7 linked regions of the Macaca mulatta genome follow. The protein of the gene in region 1 purifies or fractionates together with the protein of each later gene. This does not show direct contact. Links are inferred from orthologs where the notes say so. Each region holds a gene or a part of one and is shown in the gene's direction. Other genes may lie near its edges. The genes, in order: STIP1, CCDC117, ACLY, HNRNPDL, DNAJC7, DNAJB6 and BAG2.

What was found.
Region 2: the proteins of STIP1 (region 1) and CCDC117 purify together in Homo sapiens (affinity purification with mass spectrometry; 5 studies listed by BioGRID and IntAct, counting the BioPlex papers as one, with this or other methods). This does not show direct contact. The link is inferred for Macaca mulatta from reciprocal best matches to the Homo sapiens genes STIP1 and CCDC117.
Region 3: the proteins of STIP1 (region 1) and ACLY fractionate together in Homo sapiens (co-fractionation; 3 studies listed by BioGRID, with this or other methods). This does not show direct contact. The link is inferred for Macaca mulatta from reciprocal best matches to the Homo sapiens genes STIP1 and ACLY.
Region 4: the proteins of STIP1 (region 1) and HNRNPDL fractionate together in Homo sapiens (co-fractionation; 3 studies listed by BioGRID, with this or other methods). This does not show direct contact. The link is inferred for Macaca mulatta from reciprocal best matches to the Homo sapiens genes STIP1 and HNRNPDL.
Region 5: the proteins of STIP1 (region 1) and DNAJC7 purify together in Homo sapiens (affinity purification with mass spectrometry; 4 studies listed by BioGRID and IntAct, with this or other methods). This does not show direct contact. The link is inferred for Macaca mulatta from reciprocal best matches to the Homo sapiens genes STIP1 and DNAJC7.
Region 6: the proteins of STIP1 (region 1) and DNAJB6 purify together in Homo sapiens (affinity purification with mass spectrometry; 3 studies listed by BioGRID and IntAct, with this or other methods). This does not show direct contact. The link is inferred for Macaca mulatta from reciprocal best matches to the Homo sapiens genes STIP1 and DNAJB6.
Region 7: the proteins of STIP1 (region 1) and BAG2 purify together in Homo sapiens (affinity purification with mass spectrometry; 3 studies listed by BioGRID and IntAct, with this or other methods). This does not show direct contact. The link is inferred for Macaca mulatta from reciprocal best matches to the Homo sapiens genes STIP1 and BAG2.

What each region holds. Positions count from the first base shown.
Region 1 is NC_133419.1:10,216,013-10,220,542, reverse strand, and holds the start of STIP1 (stress-induced-phosphoprotein 1), read left to right. Parts: upstream 1-1,659; 5' UTR 1,660-2,211; coding exon 2,212-2,343; intron 2,344-2,538; exon of another isoform or gene 2,539-2,629; coding exon of another isoform or gene 2,630-2,638; intron 2,639-4,530. UniProt on the Homo sapiens protein: Acts as a co-chaperone for HSP90AA1. Mediates the association of the molecular chaperones HSPA8/HSC70 and HSP90.
Region 2 is NC_133415.1:22,768,061-22,771,418, reverse strand, and holds part of CCDC117 (coiled-coil domain-containing protein 117), read left to right. Parts: exon of another isoform or gene 1-1,908; intron 1,909-2,046; coding exon 2,047-2,284; 3' UTR 2,285-3,358. UniProt on the Homo sapiens protein: Facilitates DNA repair, cell cycle progression, and cell proliferation through its interaction with CIAO2B.
Region 3 is NC_133421.1:66,241,635-66,245,646, reverse strand, and holds part of ACLY (ATP-citrate synthase), read left to right. Parts: intron 1-280; coding exon of another isoform or gene 281-293; coding exon 294-532; intron 533-971; coding exon 972-1,051; intron 1,052-2,481; coding exon 2,482-2,612; intron 2,613-3,416; coding exon 3,417-3,535; intron 3,536-4,012. UniProt on the Homo sapiens protein: Catalyzes the cleavage of citrate into oxaloacetate and acetyl-CoA, the latter serving as common substrate in multiple biochemical reactions in protein, carbohydrate and lipid metabolism.
Region 4 is NC_133410.1:51,380,225-51,384,916, forward strand, and holds the start of HNRNPDL (heterogeneous nuclear ribonucleoprotein D-like), read left to right. Parts: upstream 1-1,476; 5' UTR 1,477-2,001; coding exon 2,002-2,444; intron 2,445-3,241; coding exon 3,242-3,410; intron 3,411-3,508; coding exon 3,509-3,670; intron 3,671-4,142; coding exon 4,143-4,274; intron 4,275-4,441; coding exon 4,442-4,556; intron 4,557-4,692. Other genes in the region: ENOPH1 (enolase-phosphatase E1), read right to left, coding at 779-862. UniProt on the Homo sapiens protein: Acts as a transcriptional regulator. Promotes transcription repression. Promotes transcription activation in differentiated myotubes. Binds to double- and single-stranded DNA sequences. Binds to the transcription suppressor CATR sequence of the COX5B promoter.
Region 5 is NC_133421.1:66,356,553-66,361,050, reverse strand, and holds the start of DNAJC7 (dnaJ homolog subfamily C member 7), read left to right. Parts: upstream 1-1,519; 5' UTR 1,520-1,543; coding exon 1,544-1,620; exon of another isoform or gene 1,621-2,240; intron 2,241-3,277; exon of another isoform or gene 3,278-3,401; intron 3,402-3,680; exon of another isoform or gene 3,681-4,384; intron 4,385-4,498. UniProt on the Homo sapiens protein: Acts as a co-chaperone regulating the molecular chaperones HSP70 and HSP90 in folding of steroid receptors, such as the glucocorticoid receptor and the progesterone receptor.
Region 6 is NC_133408.1:196,808,596-196,813,290, forward strand, and holds the start of DNAJB6 (dnaJ homolog subfamily B member 6), read left to right. Parts: upstream 1-1,614; 5' UTR 1,615-1,743; intron 1,744-4,695. UniProt on the Homo sapiens protein: Has a stimulatory effect on the ATPase activity of HSP70 in a dose-dependent and time-dependent manner and hence acts as a co-chaperone of HSP70. Plays an indispensable role in the organization of KRT8/KRT18 filaments.
Region 7 is NC_133409.1:125,106,837-125,110,139, reverse strand, and holds the end of BAG2 (BAG family molecular chaperone regulator 2), read left to right. Parts: intron 1-1,425; coding exon 1,426-1,838; 3' UTR 1,839-2,650; downstream 2,651-3,303. UniProt on the Homo sapiens protein: Co-chaperone for HSP70 and HSC70 chaperone proteins. Acts as a nucleotide-exchange factor (NEF) promoting the release of ADP from the HSP70 and HSC70 proteins thereby triggering client/substrate protein release.

The sequences.
Region 1 (4,530 bases):
CATTCGGAGAGAAGCTGCTGGGGAGAAGATGGAAGGCTTGGAAAGGCCACTGCTGGTCAGGTGGGCACGTGTGGTGGCCTGGAGACAGTGCCAAGAAGAAATGAAAGGTGTCCTTGACAGATTGGATGTAGATGAATAAGAGAGGAGGCCAAGGCCTCAGAGGAACCCTTGACCCCGCTTTCCTTCATGCTCCCTCCAAAATGCATCCAGAATCCTATTCCTGTCCCCTCCTCTGCTCTCATCCTGGCTCCCTGGGATTACTGCCACAGCCTCCTAAGAGGTAACCCTGCTCTCACTCTCCCCTCTTCCTCCACACAGCAGCCAGAGGGATCCTGAGAAAACTTAAGATCATGACACTCCTCTGCTCAAAACCTGCCAATGTGTTCGGGAGTGGCAATGGCCTCTAACCCTACAGGACCTGGCCCCTACTTCCTCTCGGCAGCTGTGCCTCCTGCCATCCTGGCTACCCCGAGGCAGCTCCCATCCCAGGGCCTTTGCACTGGCTGTTCCATGGGCCTGCAAAGTTCTCCCCCACATTTCCAAGGATCTCACTCCCTTGCTTTCTTTAAGTCTTTTCTCACCATGCCTCACTATTGAAAATGCAAAACCGCAGGGCGAAGTGCTGGGTCTGTAAACCCAGCACTTTGGGAGGCCGAGGCGGGAGGATCACTTGAGGTCAGGAGTCTGAGACCAGCCTGGTCAACATGGGGAAACCCCGTCTCTACTAAAAATTAAAAAATTAGCCGGGCGTGGTAGCGCACACATGTAATCCTAGCTACTTGGGAGACTGAGGCAGGATAATTGCTTGAACCGGGGAGGCAGAGGTTGCAGGGAGCCGAGATCGCCCCACTGCACTCTAGCCTGAGAGACAGAGCAGGAGTTTAAGACTAGCCTGGACAACACGAAGAAATCCGTCTATACAAAAAAATAGAAAAATTAGCTAGGCGTAGTGGTGCCTGCCTGTAACCCCAGGTACTTGAGAGGCTGAGGTGGGAGGATGGCTTGAGCTCAGGAGGTCCAGGCTGCAGGGAGCTGTGATGGCGCCACTGCACTTCAGCCTGGAGACAGTGAGGCTCAACTCTGTCTCAAAAAAAAAAAAAAAAAAAAAAAAAAAAAAAAAAAGCAGGCGGTTGGATTACACAGGCCCTGAACCCCACCCTAAAGCCTTCAGCACTTTCAAGTGAGGGATTACCAGGTTTGCAGGTCTGCAGCAACTTGGCTGCAGTGTCCAAAATGGGTGGGGCAGGTGGGATTAAAGATGAGGCTGTGGAGACAAGCTATTGGCAGAGAGGACACACTTTAAACCCTGGGAAGATGGCATTACCCAGAGAGGGGGAAGGATGAGGACACTGCAGAGCCCAAGACCATTGCCAGACCCGAGTCATGCGGCTCCTTTGTTCCAGGAACCACAGCTGACTCTAGAAGCAATAGCAGCATTTTCACTCCGCAGGTGCATCTCTTCCACGCTTTGGGGTGCCTGCCCTGACTCTGACTTCTGGGGCTGGGATTTAAGGCTCTACCAGGCCACAGCTAGCCAGCTCATAGGCGGTTAACTACCTGATTCAGCTCTTCGTCTCTTTCACTCCTTTACATCGGACTCACGAGGGCTGGGGGACAGCTCCCTTTCGCTAAGTACTTTCCGCGTGCTAAACACCGCACGAATTCCCCTCGGCCCTACAGGACCAAACGACTCAGAGAGGGTGTGCGGTTCCACTGAGGACGCCCAGCAGAACAGCCGCACCCGCCGCGATGAGATCCCCTGCCTGTCCAGCCCAAGCCCAAGCGCCCTCGCGGTCACGTGGCATTTCTGGAACCTAACAGCCAGAATGCAGGAGGGCCAGGCCGAGGCCGCAGCGCTGAACAACGCGCGCAACTGGCGGTCGAGGACCACGCAGCGCGACCGGCTAGGACCTCCATCTCGATGCGTGGGCGAAAGGCTGGGGCCCTGTGCCGCTGGCGATCCCGGGGACCGCCTGGAACTCGCGGCACTAGGGATCCAGATGGAAAGTAACCCACAGGCACCGCAGCCGCCGGAGACACGGCTACAGTACCGGACTACGGCCGGGACTGCCATATGCCACGGGCGGGGCGAAACCGGGCCTTTTGAAAGGCAGCGATTTAAACCAATCAGCGCAAAGGGTTGGCAACCCTCCGCCCAATTGGAATCGCTCTCATTCTGAAGGCGGTTCCGACTTGGAGTCCGGCAGCCCAATGGGAGAGGTGGAAATTTCCAGAACGAACGGAACCAATGGGCGCGGCCAGCGCTGCTACGATTGGCAGAGCAAAAGACCAATCTGTGTCGCAGAAGTCCGCTCCTCCCTCCGTTCGTGCAGCCTGAGATGGGTGGGTTTATAGAGCGGCGTCCAATCCTGAGGTGCGGGGGAGGCAGGGTTGAGGGAATCACTCCCCGCTGTCCAATGAGAGGGAAGTGGAGATGATGGGCTGGACCTCAAGCCAGTAGTAGAACAGCACAGACAGCCCCCTAGAAGTACTCGACCAGTGAGCAGGCGAGGAAGGGGCGGGAGCCGGGGTCCCGGCAGCTTCTAGTAGGTTCCAGAAGGCGGCGCGTGCGGTTGGGATCGCGGAGCGGACGGATTCGATTCAACGGGGTTCCGGGCCGCGCTGCGCTATGGAGCAGGTGAAGGGGGAGGGGCGGGCTGAGGCCCCGAGACCGCTCGGGGACCGGCGGAGGCCAGGCCCGCGGTAGGGGGCGGGGCGGGTGCCAGATCTGGGCGACCGGAGCTGGGTGCTGGAGCCGGACGGGGCGGCGGCGGGGAGGCGAGGGCCGCGGGCGGCGGGCGGGAGCGGGATCTGTAGAGGCCGGCCGCGGGGAGCGCCCATCGCCCCTTGGTTGGGCGAAGAGGGCCGGGAGGAGGCCACAGCTTGGGTGAGTCCGGCCGGCGGCGGGAAGAGGGGCCGCGACCGGGCCCTGAAGGCGTCCCGAAGGGGCTGCTGCAGGCTATGCTGGGGAGGGTGCGGGCCGCAGAGGGCGGGGTGGAGTTAGGCCAGGGGCCGGGGTCGGCACCCGCGAGGTAGCGCTCCGGGAGATCTGAGACAGCCGACGGAGAAACCGCTCGGACTTAGCCACGAGGAACTTGGACGGATCCAGGGAGCGGGGACGGGAATACACTGGGTCTTAGCAGCCTGAGATCCAGTTGGGGCAAATCTTACTCTTCTGCATCTGAGAATGTGAGGGTGGGAGAGCGTTGAGCGGGGATTTGAGGAGCTACAGACCGAGTGTAGCTGATGCAGTAAAGGGAAGGGTGCCGCAAAAGTCCTTGGAACGAATTCCATCTCTGACAGTGGTTTACAAATGTATTGCGGCCCCTCCCCCTCTTTTTGTATGCGTGTGTGTGATTGTCGAGTGACCGAGGACCGACACTTCCGAAAGGTGGATTTCTAGCTACACTGGGGCGGTTGTAGACAATTTGCAGAGATTAACCGCTAGAAGTTATGGGCCTCTGTTGAGCATTTGGGGGGCAGAGTTTGAAGCGGCTGCTGCTTCCTTTCAGTGACTTGGTTATGTCCTCAGTAGCTTGTGGTTGTGAAAGGCCTAGAGATTTTGTTCCATTGGAAGCTGTCATTGAGCTATAATGATTCATCGGAAGAAAAAGAACAAAACAACCTCCGAGAAACCTCTACCAACATCTGAGAAATCATCTGCTCGAGAGTACTACCCTCGTCGCTCCGGGCCCATAACACTTCGGGGTGACAGTTCTGAAACTATACCTGGTATTTGGTTCTTACTTCAGATCCATAAAACTAAGATTGCCCACACGCTCCCCTTAAGTAAGACATCTCGATGGACTAGTGACTACCACCCTTTTTTTGGTGGAGTTACAGAGCTGAGCCTTTGGTCTCTTGTAGCAGTTGCTGCTTTAGGCAAAGCTCTAGCTTCCTTGCTGTATTAAAAAGAGTGGAAATGAAGTTAATAAACTTTTTGTGCCCATATAATGCTTCAGTTGTATCTAGGATTAAATGGGCTGTATTATAGGTGAGGAAAAATTTTCTGGAATAAGACATTGCTCTTTTACTTTTAAGAAAGGATCTCGGCTGGGTGCAGTAGCTCGCACGTATAATCCCCAGCACTTTGGGAAGCCAAAGCGGGCGAATCACCAGAGGTCAGGAGTTCGAGACCAGCCTGGCCAACATGGTGAAACCCCCTCTGTAATAAACGTACAAAAATTAGCGGGGCATGGTGGCGCATGCCAATAATCCCAGCTACTGGGGAGGCTGAGGCAGGGGAATCGCTTCACCCCTGGAGGCGTAGGTTGCAGTGAGCTGTGATTGTGCCACCACACTCTAGTCTGGGCGACAGAGTGAGACTCCGTCTTGAAAAAAAGAGAAAGGACCTCTTTCTGCTGTTACCAAATTTATTATTTATTTTTTAGAGACAGGGTCTGGTTCTGTGGCCCAGGCTGAAGTGCACTGGTGGGATCATAGCTCACTGCAGCATCAAATTCCTGGCCTCAAGCGATCCTCCTGCCTCAGCCTCCTGAGTAGCTAACCACACGCCACCACAACTGGCTA
Region 2 (3,358 bases), on another chromosome or scaffold:
TCTCCTGATCACCAGGCAATCGGAGATTGGCTTTTTCCTAGTTCATTGGGTTGAGCAAAGTGCTTTATAAGCAGAAGTTTGAAGTATGGGGAAGTGGCTGCCTTGCCTACTTACTCTTTCGTTCCTTTGAAGACCTAAAATGGACTGTAGTCTGCTATTTGGAAATGGGATGACTGGCAAGAGAGCCCACTCTCTCAAGTTCTTGTGATAGGATATAGGAACCACATTTCAAAGGCTCCTGTTTACCCGGCTTTCTAAATTACCCAGGAACAACATTGAGGCCTAGGAAACAAAAAAAAAGTGGCCCATCAGTGAAAGTAGTTACTGCAAAGACTGCAAAACAAAGCTCATATTCTTGGCTCATTAGCATAGTCCTTCCAGGCCTTTAGCAGAGCTGTTTTGCTTTTAATCTAAACACAGTTTATGAGCTCAGTTATCTGGTTTCCTAGATCATCAGAGTAGAAGCAGAAACAGCAAATGAGAGCAGAACAAACAAAACTTCTAACAGGGAGCTGTGACTACACTGTGAGGACAAGAGAGGAACCTGGAAAGCAAACACAATAACCTAAAAAGTAAAGTGGCCTGGGGCCTGTGAGTAATGATTAGCCCAGCCCTGTAATCCTGTAGTCCCTGAAGCCTCCATGATCTCAAATTGTCATTATTAACTATGTAAAATAGTAGGGAAGTTGGTTATAAAGTGCCATTTAGGTATTGCCTAGGAAAGACTTTAGATGGAGTTGGTACCCAATGAGGGCAAGTTTCAGGTATCTGAAAAAACTTCTTAGGACACCAGTCTCAGTGAGGCCAGATAGATGAGGCATTATTACCTTTGGATACAGGGGAGATGATTTGTGCTAGAAGTTCAGCTGCTATTTGGTCTTATCACAGAGGTTTTGCATTAGGGTCCTATCTTGAGCTTATAATTAACTACCCAGCCCTATGGGTGGGTAAATAGCCATAAGTAAGCTGGTCACGTTACCCTCCAGCCTAAAACATAGCACTTTCTGCTTTTGGTAGTTTTCCAGAAGCTAGCCTTTGGGGGTATTTCATTGTTTTGTTTTATTTTTGCTTCCTCTTTGGGCCCAGACACCATTGCTGCCACAGTGTGTGTATAACATAGTCATTTTGCCTTAACCGTGAAGCTTGTTTTGTTTTGCTTTGTTTTGTGTTTTGAGACAGGGTCTCACTCTCACCCAGGCTGGAGTGTAGTGTGGCATGATCACAGTTCACCACAGACTTGACCTCCCGGGCTCAGGTGATCCTCCCACCTCAGCCTCCCGAGTAGCTGGGACTACAGGCACCCAGCTAATTTTTGTATTTTTTGTAGAGACAGGGTTCACCACATTGCCCGGGCTGGTTGCAAACTCCTGGGCTCAAACCGTCTGCCTGGCTCGGCCTCCCAAAGTGATAGGATTACAGGCACAAGCCACCATGCCTGACCCATAAAGCATTATACTTTGTACCTGTACTAAAAGGCACCTGAGATACTTTCAGCATGTTTGTCCAGTGTTTCCTTTTCATTTATAATGATTTAGTATAAGCTAGCTGCCTACATCTAATATTAACCACAGTTTTAAAAAATTTCTAACAATCAAGGGCTCTGTGTTTTCACATTGGATTTTTAGATACTTCCCATCACAGCATCATTACATCCACTTGATTTGGTTAGATATACATGTTGAAGTGTGCAGTGTTATGTATTTGAGGGGCGTTTCTAAAGATCAGTTGGAGCCAGGCATGGTGGTAATGTGCCTGTAGTCCTAATTACTGGGAAGGCTAAAGTGGGTAGATTACTTGAGTCCAGGAGTTAAAGGCTGCAGTGAGCTATGACTGTGCCACTGTACTCCACCCTGGACAACACAGCAAGACCCCCATCTCTTTAAAAAAAAAAAAAAAAAAGAAAGTAAAGATCAGTTTGTGTGTTCTAAATATCCTGTTTTGCTGCCATCAGTCCTTAAGGTATTAGGTAATGTTGGCTTTTCAACCTATAGCTTTTGTTTTCATGTCCTAAAATTTTTTGATAAAAGTCTGTATTTTATGTCTTAGGAGCCGTCCTTCCATGGAGCTTGTTCTCTGGAAACCCCTCCCTGAACTCCTTTCTGATAAGCCAAAGCCATCCTCTAATACTAAGAACTATACAGGAGAGAGCCAAGCTAAGCATGCAGCTGCTGGCACTACCTTCCCTCAGAGAACTGAACTGTTCTTGGAATCTCGGCAACCAGGGATGTCTCTTTATAATAGTTTGGAGACAGCTACTAGCACAGAAGAAGAGATGGAACTCTAGAAACCAATTTCTACACTAAAGTTGTCAAATGTTAGAAGAATCCTGTGTTCAGTTATGAGACTCTTTGCATAGTATAGGGACTTGAAAGTTTTATGAAACGGGTGTAATAATATCTCCACCTGTGATTTGGGGGTGGGACTCTCATTTTGGGTAGCCATTTATTGACTTCAACTTTTTGCCAAGGAAGTTTGTCTCAAGGGAAAAGCAGTTTTCTGTGGGGCTTATTAAAGGAATGTTGGTTTACAGTTTCTTCGAAGATTACAGCCTCTTCAAAGACAAGTATAGAAGCTGTATGTGTAAGGGTGACTTAAATCATATATCACATTGTCTAAACTATTCAGACACTTGGAGAATATTCTCCTTGAATTCAAAAAAGATGATTAAGAAGGATGCTCCTACTACAGCTGTATCCTGACAGTTAAGTCACAGTTTAGTGTGTAGATATGAGCTGTTTACAGTGGTGCCTATATCTAATTGGGGAGGAGGGAAAAGAGCAGTAGCTTAAGCCTGTTGCTAAGAAATCTAATTTCTTAGCAACTTGTAATTTAGTTATCAATTCAATATAGCTCATTGATAGCCAGTAGTATTGTGGCTCTCCTCTTTGACTATGAAAATAATAGAGAAAGTTTTTCCTTCAAGGCTTTTTTGCCTTGTGCCACTGTTACTCCTTGGTTTCCCTTGCGTAATTGATAAGCCCAGTTATTCAGTAATGTTTACAAATTAATTGACTTTCAATGATAGTTAAAAGACTGATGTAACCCATCTGCAATTTGCCTATGGGAGAAGCATCCTTTAGTTCATCCTAAGGAAGTGCTTGGTCAACTAAGCCCAGCATTGATAACTTTAGTAGTTTTTTAAAAAGTTATACTTGTATTAGCAAGTTTTTTTTTTTTTCCCCCACCGCAACCTCCACCTCCCGGGTTCAAGCAATTCTCCTGCCTCACCCTCCTGAGTAGCTGGGATTACAGGTGCCCGCCTCCACGCCCAGCTAATTTTTGTATTTTTAATAGAGACCGGGTTTCGCCATGTTGGCCAGGCTGGTCTCGAACTCCTGACCTCAGGTGATCTGCCCAC
Region 3 (4,012 bases), on another chromosome or scaffold:
GTCTGCAGCAGGGAGGAGTTAGGACTGGTAACAAAGGGGACTTCCCAGCGCAGGGATGAGAACGACCTGCAGGCGGGCCCCATTCCTCAGCTGGAGTCACACTGATTTAGTCTGGACCATCAGCCAGTGAGTTAGTGGCTTCTTCTGCTTATCCTTGGGGAAAAGATGGTAGACAAGTCTCTGGATGAATGTTTTTTACTGGGTTTTAGAAAATGAGACCATGGGGATTGGTTTCCTCTCCCAGTACATGGTAGACCCCCCCCCATCTTCCCCAGTTCAGTGCCCCTCACCAGCTTCACCCCCCAACCCCAATCCCACTATCCCGTCTCTTCACCTGCAAGGCGGAGGAGTTCTATGTCTGCATCTATGCCACCCGAGAAGGGGACTACGTCCTGTTCCACCATGAGGGGGGTGTGGACGTGGGTGATGTGGACGCCAAGGCCCAGAAGCTACTTGTTGGCGTGGATGAGAAACTGAATCCTGAGGACATCAAAAAACACCTGTTGGTCCACGCCCCTGAAGACAAGAAAGAGTTGAGTAAAAGGGACGGTAGGGAGGTGGCAGTTGGGATGAGAAGACTGACAGGCTCTGGGCATAGACCAGGGAGAGCAGAGTGGTCTCCTCTCTGGGTGTCAGGTGGTAGGCACAGCCCTGTCTTGAGGAAGACAGCTGGATGCAGGGCGGGGACTGGCTCGCAACCAGACTGAAATATGCCGCCAGCATCTCTCACCTCCTTGCCCCTGTCTGTCTGACACCTCTGCCTCCAGCTTCTCTCCTGACAGCTCCTTTCCGCCTCAGTGGCTGAAGAGCGATGTCCAGGGAGCAGGGGTTGCAGAGGAGATGGACGGGCCGGCGGGATGCGTGTCGGGAAATGGAGCTGTCAGTGGCAGTGAGATTGCTGTGGGATGCCTGGGGTGCTGCCGAGCTGCTCCCTGATCGATGAACTGTCCCTCTCTCCCTCCCACCTCTAGAATTCTGGCCAGTTTTATCTCCGGCCTCTTCAATTTCTACGAGGACCTGTACTTCACCTACCTCGAGATCAATCCCCTTGGTAACTGGGTGTGCTAGGCTGGGAGGGGGCAAGGGTCCCAACCAGACTCCCACTTGCTAGAGGGCAGCACAAGACAGATGTGCACAAGCGGAGGGCTTCCCATGCTCATTTAGTGCCAGTTCCTGTTTCTGAGCTCTCAGAAGACTGTAGTTCTCTTAGTCAACTCCAGCCTCTCTTTGGTCTTAACTTGCTCTGAAGTGGGGAAGTCCTGTTTTGTTTTGTTTTGTTTTGTTTGTTTTTGAGACCGTCTTGTCCTGTCGCCCAGGCTGGAGTATAGTGGCACAATCTCGGCTCACTGCAACCTCCACCTCCTGGGCTCAAGCAGTTTTTCTGCCTCAGTCTCCCGAGTAGCTGCGATTACAGGTGCCCGCCACCACGCCCGGCTAATTTTTGTATTTTTAGTAGAGACGGGGTTTCACCATGTTGGTCAGGCTGGTCTTGAACTCCTGACTTCAGGTAATCTGCCTGCCTTGGCCTCCCAAAGTGCTGAGATTACAGGCGTGAGCCACCACGCTCGGCCAGAAGTCCTGGTTTTGATCTGACTGTGTGCTGCTGCTCCTCATGCCAGGTCAGGCTGTCTGACAGCAGGAGGTCGGCAGCCTCTGCACTGCTTTCACCCTCTGGCCCTTCATTCTTCCTGGTGCACTCAGAGGCCCCACACTTGCCTCCCTCTGTGGGAGTTGGTCAATCATTAACCCTTGACGCTGGGAAGAGCTTGTTCTCAGCCTCTTGGGATGTGAAGGAAGCAGGTGGTGTTGGGGGAGAGTGGCGTGGGCTGGCTCTGGCCGGGACTTCTCAGGGCAAAGTCCAGGAAGGCGAGAAATCAAATCATTCTGGCTGAGGATGCAGCCCCTCTAATGGACCAGATGGCCTTGTGCTAACTCAATCAGCTAAATGGCCCTGGGGGAGGAGGAAGATGGGTGTCCAGTGAGGTAGTATAAACGAATCCTGCTGACTGAGAGTCCAGTGCACCCCGCGGCTCCTGCTCCACCTGACACTGTGGCTTCCCCTAGCCAGGCCCTGGGAGACATAGATGTGCATGCCGGTGGGGGGGTCTTCTGTCAGCAACAGGTGCCTTTAAACACTTTTAAAAAGTGGCCAGACCATGGGTTTGCGCATGGTTAGATATTCAAAGCAGGGAGTGTGGCGTTTTGTACAGATGTTTGAAAATTGCCATGGCAACTAATACAGACCTCCATGTCCCATTACCTGTAGGTTAGGGAGAGGGAAATGGCCTTGTAGAATTTGTTTTGCCTTTAATGGAGAAACGCTCTGTCTCCATAAGGGCCACTCTGGTTTCTTATTGAGCTTAGAGAGTTCTGAGGCCTGAATGGGCCACCATGGGAGCGGTGTTTGTGGAGGGGTTGGAGGTTGGTGGTCGTCTCTATCCAGAGCCAGTGTCTGATGGTTGCCTCTGCTCCCCCTTGAAGTAGTGACCAAAGATGGAGTCTATGTCCTTGACTTGGCGGCCAAGGTGGACGCCACTGCCGACTACATCTGCAAAGTGAAGTGGGGTGACATCGAGTTCCCTCCCCCCTTCGGGCGGGAGGCATATCCAGAGGTAAGGCTGGTTTAGAGAGGAGATGGGGACTGGGGGGAGGGCGGTGGGGAGGTGACTCATCTCTGATGTGCATTTGGCCCCCCTTCATGAGCTGTTTATTTGGCAGGGAAAGGAAGACCGAGAAGCATTTAATTTTCTTAAAACCCCAGTGGGGTGGGGGTGGGGGTGAGCCAAGCCTCTGAATCCCAGCCAGAAATCCTTTTAGATTTCTCTCTCAATCAGCCTCCCTCGACTCTTCACTTGATTTGTTGCCTCTCCGTGATTCCAAGTGGCTCCCCCTAATCCTGACGGAAGGTCGTTCTCTCGGCTTCTCACTGGGAGTTTTAATTGCTCTTTCCCACTCTGTCCTCTGAGAAGTCTTCACAGCAGGGTTGGGCTTTCTGGGAAGTACCCCAGGCCCAGGGAAGAGGCTGGGCTGGGAGACAGTCTGGCCTGGGGAGTCCTGGGGTGGTGGGGGACATGTGATGGGCTGGGCAGGCAGATGCTGGGGTGAGGTCACGGTTAAGCAGAGGGACATGGTGAGGCTCAGGACTTAGGCAGAGGGCCAAGGACTTGACATCAGAGAAGGGAGATGGGAAGTTTGTCCCCAGGCAGTGACTGTGACTAAGGGTGGTTTTGGTACTTGGAGATGCCATCAAGTGTCTTCAAGGCATGTGGGGCCCTGATTAGCCCCTTTTTCCCACCCCATTAAAGTGATTAGTGACCTCTTCGTGTGCCTCCAGGGAAAGCGGGGAGGGATCCTAGGATCTGGGACCTGGTAAAGGGGGCACCCCGAGGGCCTACCTGTTGCTCTCTGCTCCCCAGGAAGCCTACATTGCAGACCTAGATGCCAAAAGTGGGGCAAGCCTGAAGCTGACCTTGCTGAACCCCAAGGGGAGGATCTGGACCATGGTGGCCGGGGGTGGCGCCTCTGTCGTGTACAGGTGACTGAAGGGGGTTGCTGAAGAGAGGCCAGCCCAGCTACCCAGCATCCACATGTGTGTGGCCTGGGGGGTGGGGTCCTGCCACTTTGGTGTGGGAATTTGGGGCAGAGGAAAGCAGTGGCATCCCAGAGGGCTTCGAGGGATGATGGCGAGGGCCTGCCCTGCTCTCAGTGTCTCCTATAACTTTCTTTTTTGTGTCAAAATGAAGCTGTTTTGAGTTTTAATTGTGAAAATTGTGTGCTCCATACAAAGGTACAGCAAATATAGAAAATGAACTAGAAAGTGAAAGTTGCCTGGCCATTTCCCCATCCCCTCCCTGACCAGGTCACCCCAGTTAGCAAGTTACTGTATGTCCTATCAAGCATATATAAATATTTATACTCTTTGCTTTATAGAAATATTAGGATCATATTCTACACCCTTTACAATAATTAGCAGTTTTTTCACTTTAAGCATGGTAGACACCTGCTCATTTCT
Region 4 (4,692 bases), on another chromosome or scaffold:
TAAAGTAACATTTCATATTTACTTATTCTAACAGACAAAGAATAAAGAAGGAATCCGCTAAGTTGTAAGCTGAGGTGCAGACAAGTGCTGGTTCACAATGACATCCTAGAAGGAACGCTCTGGATAAGAGCTTCAAGCTTCTACGGTTTTCTGAGGAAAGTGAACGGAATCTAAACGTGTCCTATCGCTCAAAAAAAATCAGCGCTGTGGACCACAGAGCCTAACAGAGTAAAGTAATACAGCGTGCAGTTTGGCCACTAACAGCAAGAGTGGGAAGGGGCAAAGAGGAACCTTGATTGCCCGACACCAGGGCCACCTGAAGACTCCTCTTGACACTTCAGTCTTTCCATTTTGAGATTAGAAGCTTCAAGGACCATTAAATCGCTGCCGCTGCCACACCAGGCCCGACGGAGCAGAAAGGCTGCGCTCACCGGCGGAAGCGACCGGGTGCACACCTGCCGGGTAGGGAGGCCCACACGGTCACACCCCGCCCCGGCTTACCTGCCCTTCGGCGATTTTTAGCTTCAACTTCCATCCCTTCCCACCCATCTGGATCCAACCAAGCCCAAGGGCGGGGGAGGGAGAAGCTAGTGCCGCGAGGAAAAGCATCCCCGCCACCCGCCGCAGGCTTTCTCTCCTCCCTCCCCATTCCACAGAAGAGGCAAAGCCACAGCGCCTCTCCTAACCCTCGTCTCTAATGCAAGGCCTGCAATACTTAGAAAAAAATAATAACTGTTTTTAAGGAGAAGTAACATCCCCGCTCCCTTCCGCCCCTCACCTTCACGAAAGCAATCGGGGTTGTGGTACCTTCGATATCTAACAGGATCACGGTGACTTCGGCGGGGACCGAAAGCACGACCATTTCCCTTCCGGATGCTACGGGACTCGGCCTGCAGTCGGGGAGGGTGGAGGGCGGCGCCGGCTGCGGCTGCTGCCCCCGGTACCGTCCTGGGCTTCCGACGGCCCCGCGCGATCTTGGAGTCAGCGACCAAGTGCAGCCCGCCGCGCGTAGGGAAGAGAACACCTCTGCACACCTGGCACTGGAAAAGGCGGCCGCCCAGGAGCCCCTGAACTCGTGAGCAGGACGGGGCAGGAGCCCGAGACCACGTGGGCAGGAAAAGGGGCGGGCCGTGCTGGGTTCGGCGGGGCGGGGTGCGAAAGCCCAGCGCCAATTGGTCGCCGTCGGGCCTCGAACGCGATCCGTCAAAATGGGCCTCGCGTGGGCGGGAACAAAGAAGCGAACGCGGGAGCAGGATGCGCGAGAGCGCGCCCTCCGCAGACAGGTTGAGCGAGCGGGAGAGGCCCGGGGCACGTGCAGAAGGGAGCCCCGCGAGTGGCGCGCCGGGGATGTGAGTGCCCCTTGCCCTCTACTGCATCCAGCCCCCTCCCCGCCCACCGCCTCCGTCCTTGCATAGATACAGTCATCTGGCCAGCCTCCGCCCCTCCTCCCGGCCTCAGCCTGCCAGAGAGGCCGCGCGGGGCTCGGGCTTCGGCCGATCAGCCAGGAGGCCTCGCTGCGCCCCCTCGGCCCGCGCGCCCGTGGCCACAGCGGAAGAGACGCCCGCGCTGCGCTGTCCGGAGGGGCCGTCGCGCGCCCGCTTCCTGTTCGGCTGGTTCCTGCCAGCTCGAGGACAAAACACGCGTGCGCGCGGCGGGCGAGCGCGCTCGCCGCCTCAGTCGCCAGCGCCGGGCGCAGTCCGCCTTTTTCCGGAGTAGCCCGGCCGCGGTGCTAGTCGGTAGCAGCGGCCGCCGCAGCGGCTCCGCACTGGCGAACCGAGGGCAGAAAAAGGCGGGGTTCACGGCTCTTTGGTAGGAGTGGGCTGGACCGGACGCCAGAGACAAAGGCTCCCAAGGCAAGAGGGACTGTGGCCTTGCGTCGGCTCTGTTCGGGACTGCTGACCCCAGGACTTTACGCCCCTTCGTTTTTCTCTTCTGATTCTTCTCTTCTCCCAAGCCCGCGTCCCCTCACGCGTGGCCTCTCTCCTTGCCGGGAGGGCCGCGATGGAGGTCCCGCCCCGGCTTTCCCATGTGCCGCCGCCATTGTTCCCCTCCGCTCCCGCTACTTTAGCCTCCCGCAGCCTCTCCCATTGGCGGCCGCGGGCGCCGCGGCAGCTAGCCCCGCTCCTCCCTTCACTCGCTCCCAGCTCCGCCCGGCAGGGGGCGCGCCGGGCCCAGCGCCACGTCACCGCCCAGCAGCCCTCCCGATTGGCGGGCGGGGCGACTATAAAGGGAGGGCGCAGGCGGCGCCCGGATCTCTTCCGCCGCCATTTTAAATCCAGCTCCATACAACGCTCCGCCGCCGCTGCTGCCGCGACCCGGACTGCGCGCCAGCACCCCCCTGCCAACAGCTCCGCCACTATGGAGGATATGAACGAGTACAGCAACATAGAAGAATTCGCAGAGGGATCCAAGATAAACGCGAGCAAGAATCAGCAGGATGACGGGTACCGCACGCTTCTTCCCCCGCTCCCCCTCCCCCAGCGCGCCGCACGCGCCCTTCGTCCCTCGTGAGCCGCGCGCTGCCCCCATTCTTTCTCAGAGTCGATTCCCCGCGTGCCCTCTGGGCCCCACTAGCTTGGAGGGAAGAGGAAAGTAAGAGATCGAGGGGGTGACTGGAGAGACCCGGGAAGAGTGGGGGAAGGGCGGAGGGGTTGGAGGAGGAGGGCGGCGGCGTCTCTGTCCCGAGCGCGCAGGCGCCGCGTGGGACCCGGGGGGGAGGGGCCGGCCTCCCAGCGCCGCTCGCTGCAGCTGCCGACGCCTCTTCATTGTGTGTCTGTTACCACTCGGCGCGGTTTTCCTGGGAAGAGTTTTAGAGGACTCTGAGTTCGGGCACAAGCAGGCGACTGGTACCCAGATTCACAAAACGTATTATGATTGATGAGTTCTCTGGGTGGAACGTTGGCTTGACAGCTGAGGACGAGGATGGACCTAAGATAAGATGTGAGGGATTCATCTAGGAAGTTGGGCCTTGTAGCTGAAGCAATCTGGGCAGAACCTTTACTATATTTTATTGGTCTCCTTTGAGTTTTGCTTTATGTAGTGCGGAGAGCGAGCTGTCCGCTGGTTTGAGTAACTTTGTTGGGATATTGGGATTTTTGTGTGAAATAGATTAAATGTAAACATGGATTAAATTGCTTACACTTAGGGGATAAATGTTCCTGTTTTTATTCTACGATTTAATTCCAGAACTGAAGGACCATTTGAGTTACTGTTAATTTTTTAAAAAACCTTTTATTTCTAGTAAAATGTTTATTGGAGGCTTGAGCTGGGATACAAGCAAAAAAGATCTGACAGAGTATTTGTCTCGATTTGGGGAAGTTGTAGACTGCACAATTAAAACAGATCCAGTCACTGGGAGATCAAGAGGATTTGGATTTGTGCTTTTCAAAGATGCTGCTAGTGTTGATAAGGTAGGAACTGTGTTTTGCATTGTGCTGCTTTTGTAGTGTTTTGCACATTTTTCTGGGGGTTATATGCTGCTGTCAGATTAAATAAATCTGTCTTGTAGGTTTTGGAACTGAAAGAACACAAACTGGATGGCAAATTGATAGATCCCAAAAGGGCCAAAGCTTTAAAAGGGAAAGAACCCCCCAAAAAGGTTTTTGTGGGTGGATTGAGCCCGGATACTTCTGAAGAACAAATTAAAGAATATTTTGGAGCCTTTGGAGAGGTGTGTGATTATGTTTACACATGTTAAGCTTGATGTGTTTATAAAATGTTTAATCCTGGTCCGATTTATACAGGGCAGATTCATGTTTCGTGTGAGGGTAGGATTAAATGACTGCTCAAGTCGCTTCCAGGGACTGTACCTTGATTTGATTGCTGCTCTGATGGAAACCCAACTATCTTAATTTAGCCAAAACATGGGCACTTAAATGTGGTCGGTGTTTGGACTTGTTAGTTAGTGGCATCTTTGGGGTACAAAATAATATTAAAGGATGTTTTACTTTTCTCTCAATGCTTCAAATATACAACAAATCACTGAAGGCTGATGTTGATCATAAAGCAGTGATGTCTGTATAGAAGTCACCTGATAAGAATAACATGTTTAAGTTGAAGCCTGAAAAGTACCTGTGGCATTCTGACACTCTGGTAGCATTTTACAATTATGGGATGACCTTGAGTGTGCATCTCGATTTCAGATTGAAAATATTGAACTTCCCATGGATACAAAAACAAATGAGAGAAGAGGATTTTGTTTTATCACATACACCGATGAAGAGCCAGTAAAAAAATTGTTAGAAAGCAGATACCATCAAATTGGTTCTGGGAAGGTAAAGCCATTTAAGTACTTTAAATGAAAATTTTAAGGATTTCTTTTTTCTTTATTTTTTTATCTTTTAGTTTTTGAAATTTCTCAATGTGTTTGAGAAAAATAAAATGATTAAATTTTAGAACTTGAGTAAAAATTCTATTTTCGTGTTTTTTAATTTGTTTATAGTGTGAAATCAAAGTTGCACAACCCAAAGAGGTATATAGGCAGCAACAGCAACAACAAAAAGGTGGAAGAGGTGCTGCGGCTGGTGGCCGAGGTGGTACGAGGGGTCGTGGCCGAGGTGAGACTTAATTCTTGGAATATGACTCCATGGTTTAAGCTGTATACTGCTAAATATGAGTAGTCCTGTACGAAACTAAAACTTAAAACAATTCCAGCGGGAGGAAAATGTTCAGCTTAGTGGGGGTTGTGTGTGG
Region 5 (4,498 bases), on another chromosome or scaffold:
GATAATAATTACATCCAGCATTTGTTTTTTCTGTTGTTCAGGTGTAGGTAGACAATGAAAAGTTAAGTTTAAATATGGTAAGCTTTGGGGATTTGTGAAACATACAAGAGATATCCAGTAGATAGTTGGATATGCAGCTGTGGAAGCTGAAGAAAGGTCTAGGTTGGAGATATGTAGAGTTGAGAGTCATCAACAGATGGAAGTAAAGCTGTGGGAATAAATGAGTTGCCTTAGAACATAAAGTGGGAAGATGGTGAGACAGGTTGGCTAGCATTAGACTGGACTATGAGCCACTGACAGGCAGGGCAGGTGGTCTGTAAGTCTTGTGCCCTCACAACCTAGCACAAAGTAGGCGTTTTGGAAAGGGCTATTGAGTGATTGGCTCAACGAATGACCCCTCCTTTCCAACCTAGTAAGCTTGTCCTATCCCTCCCTACTCAGTGGTCGCTGTGGTTTCAGTTCCCTCCACACTGGGATAGGCAGGGTAGGAGCATTGGCACATGCTGTTTTCCTGGAAGAAACAGGTAAATCCTTTTAAAAATTCCTTTGCCCTCTTCTCATTTTAGCTACTCTTAGCTTTACATTGTAAAGCTACTCCTAATACGCCTCCAATTTAACCCCAGAAAGCTCCAATTCAATTCAGCTCCACAAATAGTGGCTTGGGTGAGGGAATAACAAGACAATTAAACTGTGCCCTTGTCCCCTGTGAGTTCTCAATCCAGACCGCATTCGGCAAGACAAGCGTGATGAGTAGAGAGTTTATATAAGAGGTAGGAGTAATGGGGACACAAGAGCAGGGACCTCACCCAGCGAGCTTCCTTATAAACTCCAGGGCAGGGTCTGGGGCGCCATGTGTCAGCTTTCCTAGGCTTAATGCTGAGATGGCACTCCCAGGCGGCTGACATGAAAGCAGCCTCGTAAAAGGGTCAGCGTCATTAGGGTGATGAACCAGTTGGTGTTTGGAGATCCGGAGTGGATGAAAGGCGCAGGATGAAGACGCCCTACGTTCCCCTGGCTTGATTGGGTAGGGCTTCCAGAGAACGATGAAAGCTGGGGGAACTGGGCTCAGAGTGGCTCTTGCCTTTCCCGGGAAGAAGCTGTGAACACACTCCAAGGTCGGAAAGGTAGCAGTGGGGACTCTTTCCCTACAGTCTTGGGTCACCTGGTCCCCACCCAACCCAGACTCCACGGAGCCTTTAAGGAAGACTCTCTAGGATTGGAAGTTGCTATGGCAACGAGGCTCTTGGAATACTGAAACCAATCAAGCCCTAGAGAGGCTACCACCCGTACACCTCCATTCCCATCCACGGGTAAAGTGGCGCCGCCTACGCACAGGCACAGTCCCTGGGCTCCCGCCCCGGCGCGGAGACCACCCTGGACATCCGGGGACGGGAGGCCGCTCTGGCCCCAAGCGGAGCCTCTCTCTGGTAGACGAGCCCGAGGGAGCCCTTCTGGGCGAGGCGCCGCTGAGCTGCTCTATGCTCCAACCGGAAGTGCTCTTCACCGCCGGCCTCCCACCCAGCTCTCTGGTCCCGGCGGTAAGATGGCGGCTGCCGCGGAGTGCGATGTGGTAATGGCGGCGACCGAGCCAGAGCTGCTCGACGACGAAGAGGCGAAGAGGTAACCGGGTAGCAGGGTAGTAGAGGAGGCAAGCTGCAGCTCCGTGGCTCAGGGAAACCCGTTCCTGCCATGATGCAGCCCCCAGCTGTTGAGGCGATGCCCCGCCCTACGCAAACCCCCCCCCAATCTGAGATCAAGGCCGGATGGACCCCCTGAAGGGGCGCTCTTGGGGGTCGGCCTTCCTCTCCCGCTTCCGCCTGGCGAAGGAGCTGAGGCATGGCCTTCTTCTCCAGCTGAGAGGACGATCGTCCTTATAGGAGAGCCCGAGTCTCGGAGGGCAATTTCGGAGGTCTGGTGCGAGGGGGGGGGGGCGGCGCGGCGTCGATGACGACTTCCTTACATCGCCCCTGACTCCCTCCTTCTCGTTAACTTCTGTGCATTGTTGCCTGTCTGCACTTTCCATCTCTAAAACCTTTGCTCTCCTCCCCCCGTTTTCCTTTTCGATCACTAGTCTGGGTTCGAGGTGATTGTGTGTCTCCATAATTGACCTGGTTGCCCCCGGTTATCCCAGAAGTCAAGGATGATAGAGAAAAAGGGAAGAGCGAGGGGCTTATCTCGTGTTCTCTGTGTCAGACTCCTCTTCCCCTATCCTTCCTGGGTGATCTTTATCCTTCCCAGCACTGTTCTTTCTTAAGTTAAGCACCAAGGAAGAGGGCAACTGCTTGGGCGCTGTTGGCACACCGAAGCAGCCGCAGTGGTTCGAGACTGCCAGTCGGACTAGCCAAGGGAGCTGCTGAGTGAGTGGTTTTCGAGAACGCTCTAGATTCTGGCAACAGGCCAGATTATTGGAAATGGGGTTGGGACAGAGTTGTGGGTAGTCATACGTGTTCTAATACTAAAGCAGAATTGACAAGAAGGTTCTAGAAGTTTGGAGCCCTTTCCTTATCAGCTGCAGGTTAATCTGACCCTTTTGTTCAAGATGCCTACAGTGCCCTCAGTCTTATTCCCACATACTTTATATTTTCATACCAAGCCCGTTATGTCTTCAGGCTGGGTAATTTGAGGTGGTGATGTAGAATTAGTTCATGAGATCTGAAATCAGGATTCTGAGATTTTTACTATCTGATGAGTTAGAAATATAAGAACGGAGGCCATGAATAGTTATCAAGCTTGAAGGTTGTTACCACAGCCAGTGTCTCAAGTTCCTGATCTGTTGGGAGCTGGGGGGCCTGACAAAGTGTAATAGGTCCCTGGGATATCAGAGAAGCCAGGACACCAGAGTCCAGTCTCTGTTCTTAATTTTGAGCTTTCATGTTGTTCCTGCTTCTTTCTAGATATTTAAAGTTAAGCATCATCAACCCTTATACATCATTAAAGAGCTGCAATGGGAAACAAAATTTCTCCCAGTGCAGACAGAGCTTAATTAATTGTAGAGAGTTACTTGGATTTGGAAAGAGTTCAGTGTTTCTTTATATTATAAATAGGGATTTGGCCATAGGTAATTTATTTATTTATTTATTTTTAATTTTTTGAGACGGAGTCTCGCTCTGTCGCCCAGGCTGGAGTGTGGTGGCATGATCTCAGCTCACTGCAAGCTCCGCCTCCTGGGTTCACACCATTCTCCTGCCTCAGCCTCCCCAGTAGCTGGGACTACAGGTGCCCACCATGCCCGGCTAATTTTTTTTTTTAATTTTTTTTTATTTATTTTTATTTTTAGTAGAGACGAGGTTTCACCGTGTTAGCCAGGATGGTCTCCATCTCCTGACCTCGTGATCCTCCTGCCTCGGCCTCCCAAAATGCTGGGATTACAGGCGTGAGCCACTGCACCAGGCTGGCCATAGGTAATTTAAAAAATTCATCCTACTCATTGTCAATCTCTGATGTAGAGTGTCCCTATTTTGGACTTCATTTCAAAACCTCCTATCTAAAGCAAATACATTTCTTCAATCACAGCCTTAGAGGATATTCTATCATAAAATTGGAGTAAATGAACCTGAAGACGCATAATAAAATAGGTTATGCTGTAATGTGACCACATCACACAAAACATGGTATTTTATAGCAGTACAACAAAATAAGGTAAACTACCTTATTACTTAAGTAGCCTGTAATCCCAGCACTTTGGGAGGCCGAGGCAGGTGGGTCAGCTGGGGTCAGGCGTTTGAGACCAGCGTGGCCAACGTGGCAGAACCCTGTCTCTATTAAAAATACAAAAATTAGCTGGGCGTGATGGCACGCACATGTAATCCCAGTTACACAGGAGGCTGAGGCAGGAGAATTGCTTGAACTCAGGAGGTGGAGGTTGCAGTGAACTGAGATCGTGCCATTGCACTCCAGCCTGGGTGACAGAGTGAGATTCCATCTCAAGAAAAAAAGTCGTTGATTGCAGAATGCAAATTATTTTATCTGTCACTAAGAAAATATAACTATAAATTAAACATGACAACATGTATTATCCCTGTAGTTCAAATAGTGAGAGAAAAAAATTAATTAAAAAAGGAAAAAGGCTGGGCGTGGTGGCTCACACCTGTAATCCCAGCACTTTGGGAGGCCAAGGCAGGTGGATCACCTGAGGTCAGGAGTTCGAAACCAGCGTGACTAATACGGTGAAATCCTGTCTCTACTAAAAATACAAAAAGTAGCCGGGCGTGGTGACGCACACCTGTAATCCCAGCTAGTCGGGAGGCTGAGGTGGGAGAATTGATTGAACCTAGGAGGTGGAGGTTGCGGTGAGGGGAGATCATGCCATTGCACTCCAGCCTTGGCAACAAGAGCAAAACTCCATCTCAAAAAAAAAAAAGTTACATTAAAAAAAGAAAAAAATGCATTCTTATCAGACTTTTATGTTTCTCATATATAGCACTCTTTTCGACAGAATTAAACATGTTTATTATATACCACTTTTGTGCACAAGTCAAAAGGAAAATAAGGCTGGGCG
Region 6 (4,695 bases), on another chromosome or scaffold:
TCAGTGAACTAGTTAGTAATTGGTATCTTAACACGGCATAATTCGGGGTGGCATTTCTCCAACTCTTTCATTACTAACCAGCTATTATAAACCAAAAGTGATTCAAGTGTTAAAAGTGTCTTTTGAGTATCTCCCAGGCTTAAATGATCACGAATTCATAAGCATTGTTCAGAAGGTGGCTGAGCAGGCCCCCGGAATTCAGCGTCAGCATGCCACAGGATCTGAAGTTCAGGAAAGGTGTGACAAAAAGGAATTTTTCTTTTTCTTTTTTTTTTTTGAGAGAGTTTCGCTCTTGTTGCCCAGGCTGGAGTGCAATGGCATGATCTCGGCTCACTGCAACCGCCTCCTCCTGGGTTCAAGCGATTCTTTTGCCTCAGCCTCCGAAGTAGATGGGATTACAGGAATGCGCCACCACGCCTGGCTAACTTTTTTTTTGCATTTTTAGTAGAGACGAGGTTTCTCCTTGTGTCAGGCTGGTCTTGAACTCCCAACCTCAGGTAACCCACCTGCCTTGGCCTCCCAAAGTGTTGGGATTACAGGCGTGAGCCACCACACCAGGTTGGCATTTTTATTTCTTAAAGGAAAGGATAAGGTGGGCTACGAAGACAACACAGTAGCAAACATCTGGCTGAGTGCTGGAGACAAGACAGTGGGAGATCCAGGCCAGGCTCCATGCACGGAACTGCTTGTTGACCTCTTTAGGCTTTGGATCTACAGGACCTTTCGTTACTGGGAATGAAAGCCTGTCTGACTGCGCGGGGTCTGAGGTTCCCTGCTCCCGCTAGTCACCATCTGCACGCGTGTGGTATTAACCTCCAGGGTTAGAACCAGAACCCCTGCGGACGCGGGAAAGGCTCGCGAGTCTGGGGATGACCTCAAGTCCAGCGATCAAAGTGCGGCCCGTTTTCAGGAAACAACTGCCACGATTCAATCTAAAAAGCTTCTTCGGTATTTTCGGCCACAGTTTGCTTCCATTTCCTTCCATCATTATTCCCCGGCGAAGTCTCCACGCACTCCCGTTCGCCGGGGAACTTAGGGTATCAGGCCTTCCCTAAATTGACGAGCGGGGGCCGGTGCCTTCGCTTGCCTTCCCTGGCCGCCGCTTGATTTCTTCTTCCTCCCCTTCGAGGACTTCTCCGCCCGCGCCCGCGCCCCAGCTTTCGTCCCGCTGTGGGGAGATGCCACCCAGCTCCACGGGAGGACCGCGGGGCGAGAGGCGGCGGACGCGCTCCGGAGGCCGCCGGCCGAAGATGAAGGGCGCGACGACATCGCGGTTTCCAGAATGGGCTCCTTCTCGCCCAGAACAATCAGTGCCGTTTGGAATCTTCTCGGCCTTCTCTGCGCCGTCCGCGCCTCTGGGCTCCCCGGTACGGTGGACCCGGCCCCGAGCTCCGCCCTCTCGCCCTGGGCTTCCCCTCCCCTCCCCTTCGCCCCCAGTCTCCCGGCCTCTTCGGGGCGGCGGAAGAGCCGAGAACCTTCGCGAAGGCGGGGCGGGCGCCTCCGAGGCTGGGCCCGCGTTTTGGGCAGTGGAAACTGCACATGCGCGGCGTCAGGGCCGGGCGGAAGTTAACGTCGCTGTGCCGCCGCCGCGTGACGCATTTCCTGTTTGTTGTCGGAGAAAGGAGAGAAAGGAAAGCGCGAGGAGACGCCGCCACCACCAGCGCAGCAGTGCAGGAGCTGTGAGGAGATTCGGGCAGTCACCCCGCCTCCCCTGCGTCCCGCCACCAGCCGCCTCCGTCCTCGGTGAGAGTCTGTTTCGAGGGCCGGGGGAGGTCGCCTAGGGCCCTGCGCGCGCCCGGCAGACGGCGGACCTAACCCGGCTCCTGGCAACAGCGTGGGGGGTGACCGGGGTCGCCGGTCGGGGCAGTACTGGAAGGGGCGGGGGCCGTGGCCGGGGTTGCGGGGCGAAAGGTGGGCGGCGTCCTCTGGGTCTGGGGCCGAGGCCGGGGCCGGGGCTGGGGGCTGGGGCCGCCCGGCCGCGTCCTCCCCGCCCGGCGTCCTTGCCGGAACGCGGCCCGGCCTCCGCGGCGGCGGTTGGGGGTGGGGCCCGGCCTGGGAGCGGCCGGCTGGGGCTCGGCTGGGGCTCGGCGGGGCCGGCAGCGTGGGAGGCGTGGAGCGCCTTCTTTCTAAGGCTCCTTCCCTCGAGTCTGAAACCAGAAACGCGAGTGGCTTGCGGAGCGGGAATGCCGCTGCCGTGCCGCCAAGTTCGGAGGGAGAAGAAGCAGGTGGTGGACCGCAGAGCCCTGTTTCTAGAACTCCGGACGGATTGTTGAGAAGTTTGTGGAAGAGCAGGCTGCGTTTCTTATTCAGAACGTCTGTCTGCTTTGCTTTGCGTTAAAGAATCTGCACCGTAGTTGATGCAACTGAAGTTTATGTAACAAGTTTATATTAACTCTTACCCAAGTGAGGAAGGTCAGTGACACACGAAGTATAAACTGCAAACCGTATGTTGGCTCGAGAAAGGTTTTGGCGCTAGCGCATTTTTTAAAAAGGATGGGTTTTCTAGTCAGACGTAAACTTCTGTACTAATTTTCTCACGTAAACGAGGCAGGAAGTAGCCCGAGTAGAACGATCGTGCCACCACCGAAGGGATGCCGCCTGCGAGCTCAGAGGCTTCAGCCTGTTGGGGAAGAGTAGGCTGAGCGGAGCTCTCTGTAATTTTTAACGTTTTTGTTAATATGAGTTGCGAATTTAGTAAGGATTTGTGGCTACAAGTTAAGCCAAATTATTGATTTAGTAGAAAAGTTAAGACTAAAGACCGAAGAAAGGAAAGTAAACAGACTTTAACTACTAAATCTTGGTTGCTGCTGCTTCGTGTTTAACCGCACTTTTCCAAATAATGTTGCATATCAGAACGATTCATGGTTTCTGAAAGGAATTATATGCATCCACCTTACTACTCCACCTGTCCATCCGTCATGTTTTCTTTTTGGGTTTACTCCAAACTTTTTTTTTTTTTTTTGAGACGAAGTCTGTTCTGTTGCCCAGGCCAGGGTGCAGTGGCGCGATCTCCACTCAGTGCAACCTCCAGCTCCCAGGTTTAAACGATTCTCCTGCTTCAGCCTCCTGAGTAGCTGGGATTACGGCTGCTCGCCACCACGCCCGACTAATTTTTGTATTTTTAGTAGAGACGGGGTTTCACCGTGTCGGCCAGGCTTGTCTCGAACTTCTGACCTAAAGTGAACCGCCTGCCTCGGCCTCCCAAAGTGCTGGGATTACAGGCGTGAGCCACCGCGCCCGGCCGACTGCAGACTTGTTTCCACTTCTGAGAGCCTTAAGCTCCTTTGAAGTTGGTTCTTTCACATTTCTTTCTGCCTTCTGTGATAAAGGGGTGAATATTTTTTATGCACACTTTAATGAGCTGTGGGTGTTTATGGATTATTCTGGATGTGAAATTTGGGAAGTAAGTTGCCTTAAATTGGTAGATGTGGAGACTTGACAGGAAGTGGGAGAACAAAAGGATTGAGAACCTTTGAAAAATGCCTAACTAGGCTTAGTCTGTACTGTGGAACATGAGAAAGTTGGGAATTTCAGAGGGCAAAGCTCTTGAAGAATTTGAGATGAGTTCAACACTCTCTTCAAAACATCAGTGTTTTAAAACTTATTTTCTTCTGGATATGAAAGTGTTAGGTTTGGGAAGTAATTCTGGCTGTAGGACAGTTTTTCCGGAACACTAGGTGGTGAGTATTGTTGAATATTGTAAAGACTGAAATAAGGATATGGTATTACAGTGTGATACCTGTAACTAAGTGGCATACATTAGCTTTCATTTTTAAGCAAGTCTGTAATTCCTTTCTATTAACTGATTTGGACAGTTTCAAACGAATAGTGGTACCCATCACCTTCATCAGTTTTCCACCTAGGTAACCCAAATCCAGGTCTGAGGTGGGGGTGGGATGGTATGTTTGAACATTTTTTTTTTTTGAGACGGAGTGTTGCTCTGTTGCCCAGGCTGTAATGCAGTGGCGCGATCTCTGCAAGTTCACGCCATTCTCCTGTCCCAGCCTTCCGAGTAGATGGGATTACAGGCGCCCGCCCCCATACCCGGCTGATTTTTTTGTAGTTTTTAGTAGAGATGGGGTTTCACCATGTTAGCCGGGATGGTCTTGATCTCCTGACCTCATGATCCACCCGACTCGGCCTCCCAAAGTGCTGGGATTACAGGCGTGAGCCACCGCGGCTGGCCCTTTTTTTTATTTTTTATTTTTGTTTTTTTGAGATGGAGTTTCACTGTTGCCCGTGATGGAGTACAATGGCGCCATCTTGGCTCACTGCAACTTCGCCTCCCAGGTTCAAGCGAATCTCCTGCCTCAGCCACCGGAGTAGCTGGGATTACAGGCATGCGCCACCACACCCAGCTAATTTTTTTGTGTTTTTATTAGAGATGGGGGTTTCACCATGTTGTTAGGCTGGTCTCGAACTCCTGACCTCAGGTGATACACCTGCCCTGGCCTCCCAAAGTGCTGGATTACAGGCATGAGCCCCCTCGTCCGGCCGTCACTGTTAAGAGTATTTAACAAGAGGGCACTTCAAAACTTGGGCAGGTATTTTTAGTCATCCTGAACATGTCGCTGTGTACTGTCACCGCGGGACCGCACAGACACCTTATTGTCTGCCGTAAAGGTCAGCTTCTATATTGGTTAATGCTTACGGATATGTGTTGATGAGGAATAAGGTAATCAGCCTTTGTGTTTG
Region 7 (3,303 bases), on another chromosome or scaffold:
CCCCAAGCCATGGCTGGGAGAGATAGGAAAAAGCCTGCAAGCTCAGAAGAGCTGGCCCCAAGCAGTAAGGCCATGTGTTTTATCCCAGGTTCACACTCCTAACTTCAGTTCTTCACAAGTTACTGGACTGCAAGAGATTAAAAAACACAGAGGAAAAAGGGTGAGAATGGAAGCAGAGAAGTAGAGACCAAAAAAAAAAAAAAAAAGATGAATTGAGGTACAACATAAAGAGAGGGACAAAATGCAGAGAAAATGAGGAAACTTGTAGGACCAGTAAAAGGCATGAATGTAAAAATGTGCTGTCATTTTCTTTTTTCTTTTTATGAGATGGAGTTTCACTCGTCACCCAGGCTGGAGTGCAGTGGCACGACCTTGGCTCACTGCAACCTCCGCCTCCCGGGTTCAAGTGATTCTCCTGCCTCAGTCTCCTGAGTAGCTGGGATTATAGGCGCCTGCCACCACACCTGGCTAATTTTTGTATTTTTAGTAAAGACAGGGTTTCACCATGTTGGCCAAGCTGGTCTCGAACTCCTGACCTCAGGTGATTTTGCCTGCCTCGGCCTCCCAAAGTGCTGGGATTACAGGCATGTGACATCACGCCTAGCCTGTGCTGTCATTTTCATGTGAAGAACATGTAATAGGTAGGAATAGGTCACTTGTGATTTTCTTTTTATTGGCACTGGACTTCCTACTTGGGCTCCTTTGGTGCCACACAGGCCACATGTTACTGGGCCAAGTGACTGGTGAGATAAGTAAGCAATCTAAATCCAGATCAAAACTGTTACACATCTATGGTAGGCCATGATCTAGTCTCTACACTGTCCTGCCCAAAGATCAATGAATTAGGAAGTTACAGAAGCAGGAGATTGCTGACTTTTTCATATAAATAATGAAATGTTGATAGAGCTCCTCATGCCGGTCAAGACTTTAGACCACTGTCCTGTTTCTATCTGGAGAAGCATGAAGTCAGTGCCTAGTATTGATGCCAGCTTATCTTCTATCATGGCTATATTTTCTCAACCAAAATTTGGGGCAGTGTATTCTGATAAATGCACATGTCGTTATGGAGAGATCTGGGACATCTGATCTCTGGAGCTGTACCCAACATAAATCCTATATGTGCTTACTGCTCAAAGGGTTAAGACTTGATCTCCATCCCAGTTACAAATGCATACCTACCCAAACTTTTGCAAACATGCCAATTTGAGAAGTCATCTAGTATCCCATATATAAAGATTGTCAGGAAATGGTATTCTACAACCTCTCTCTGTAATCTAATACATTTCATCAGTTAATCTTACATGCTATAATTTTAGCTTGTATCTTTAAAAAAATTTCATAGCAGATACTTAATACATTTAGTCACAAATGCCTTAATGTTCTTGACACAGATAAGTTTATGTCTCATATTGATTGACATTTTAGGAGAAAGAGAAGAATTAAATCTGACTGCAAACCGTTTGATGGGAAGAACTCTCACCGTTGAAGTGTCAGTAGAAACAATTAGAAACCCCCAGCAGCAAGAATCCCTAAAGCATGCCACAAGGATTATTGATGAGGTGGTCAATAAGTTTCTGGATGATTTGGGAAATGCCAAGAGTCATTTAATGTCGCTCTACAGTGCATGTTCATCTGAGGTGCCACATGGGCCGGTTGATCAGAAGTTTCAATCCATAGTAATTGGCTGTGCTCTTGAAGATCAGAAGAAAATTAAGAGAAGATTAGAGACTCTGCTTAGAAATATTGAAAACTCTGACAAGGCCATCAAGCTATTAGAGCATTCTAAAGGAGCTGGTACCAAAACTCTGCAACAAAATGCTGAAAGCAAATTCAATTAGTCTTCAAACCCAACAGCATTTACACAATACACATGGTGTAAAAATGATAAAATACTATTTTAATTGATAACTAGTTCTTTATGTTAGATATAACCACTTAGTTGATACTGACAGTTGTTTCAGATGAGGAAAATATTCCATCAAGTATCTTCAGTTTTGTGAATAACAAAACTAGCAATATTTTAATTATCTATCTAGAGATTTTTTAGATTGAATTCTCATCTTGTACTAGGATCTAGCATATTTCACTATTCTGTGGATGAATACAGTTTGTGGGGGAAAACAAGTGTTCAGCTAGGGGCAAAAGCATCACTGCTTTTTCCTGTGCTTTGGCGTGGAATCACGCAGTCACCTTGGGCATTTAGTTGACTAGAAATTCTTTACCTTAAGCAGCACACACATTTACTACACACAGTGTTAACAAAGCACTGTGCTTAGAGGGATAAAAAGGAATCACAAAACAACAGTCTTTCCAAAGTTGTCTCATTCCTCAATGTTAAGGCATCTATATCAAATTATTTTGGATGTAAAGATTCCTGTGTCTCATAATATGAATGTATTTTTTGATATACAAGAAACTATGACATAAAATGTGAGAAAACCACCTATAATTTGCCACTGTGAACAATTATATATCTGCTTCATCTTTTCTCAAATGCATCAATTCTCTAGAATTCCTATATTGTAACTTGCCTTTTTAAAAAAGTTAGATGCTGATATAAAGCCTGCTTGTCAACTTAATGAGCTCTATTTTGTGTAGTTATATCTTTCTTTATCCATTCCCATCTTACGGACATTTAGGTTGCTTCCAGCTTGTTGCTATTACTGCAACATATTTTTGTACGCAGGGCTTTTTCCTTCTTTTGTTTTCAATTTTCTCTGTATAAAGGCCCAGCAGTGAATTATATTGGATCAAAGGGTATAGACATTTTCATGGCCTCACACACTTATTAAAAATTTTTTGTACAAAGGTTATAGCAATTTATACTTTTTTCAGTAAATAAAATATAGCTATTTCACTGAACTCTTTCCAGCACTGAGCATTAACACTTAGTTTGCATTTTGTTTACTAAAAAGGTTGACCAGTGTGTTGATTCTTCTTTTATCTGTGATAAAGTGAAGCAACTAGAGAACACTTATTTGTTTAAAGTAACTAGTCCTGTTGATATAAACGCAACAACTTCCCTAGATACTATTTTGAAATGAACACATCAATTTTTATTTCAATGTAGGTATTCTTCACACTGAAAAACCAAATCAGGATCCAAACTGATTTTATATATGTCTCTCTCTCTCAATGCAAGCAATATTGAACTTCTTTTTCTCTACAAAAATGCCAAGTTAGTCTCTTTATAAAAAGCAGTTAAAATCTGAAGACATTTGTGTTACTTCCTTTGCCAGCTCCAACTCTGCCTTATTTAAATCTTTCCATTTCATGGGAAACATTAATTCTATCTATGGCAAA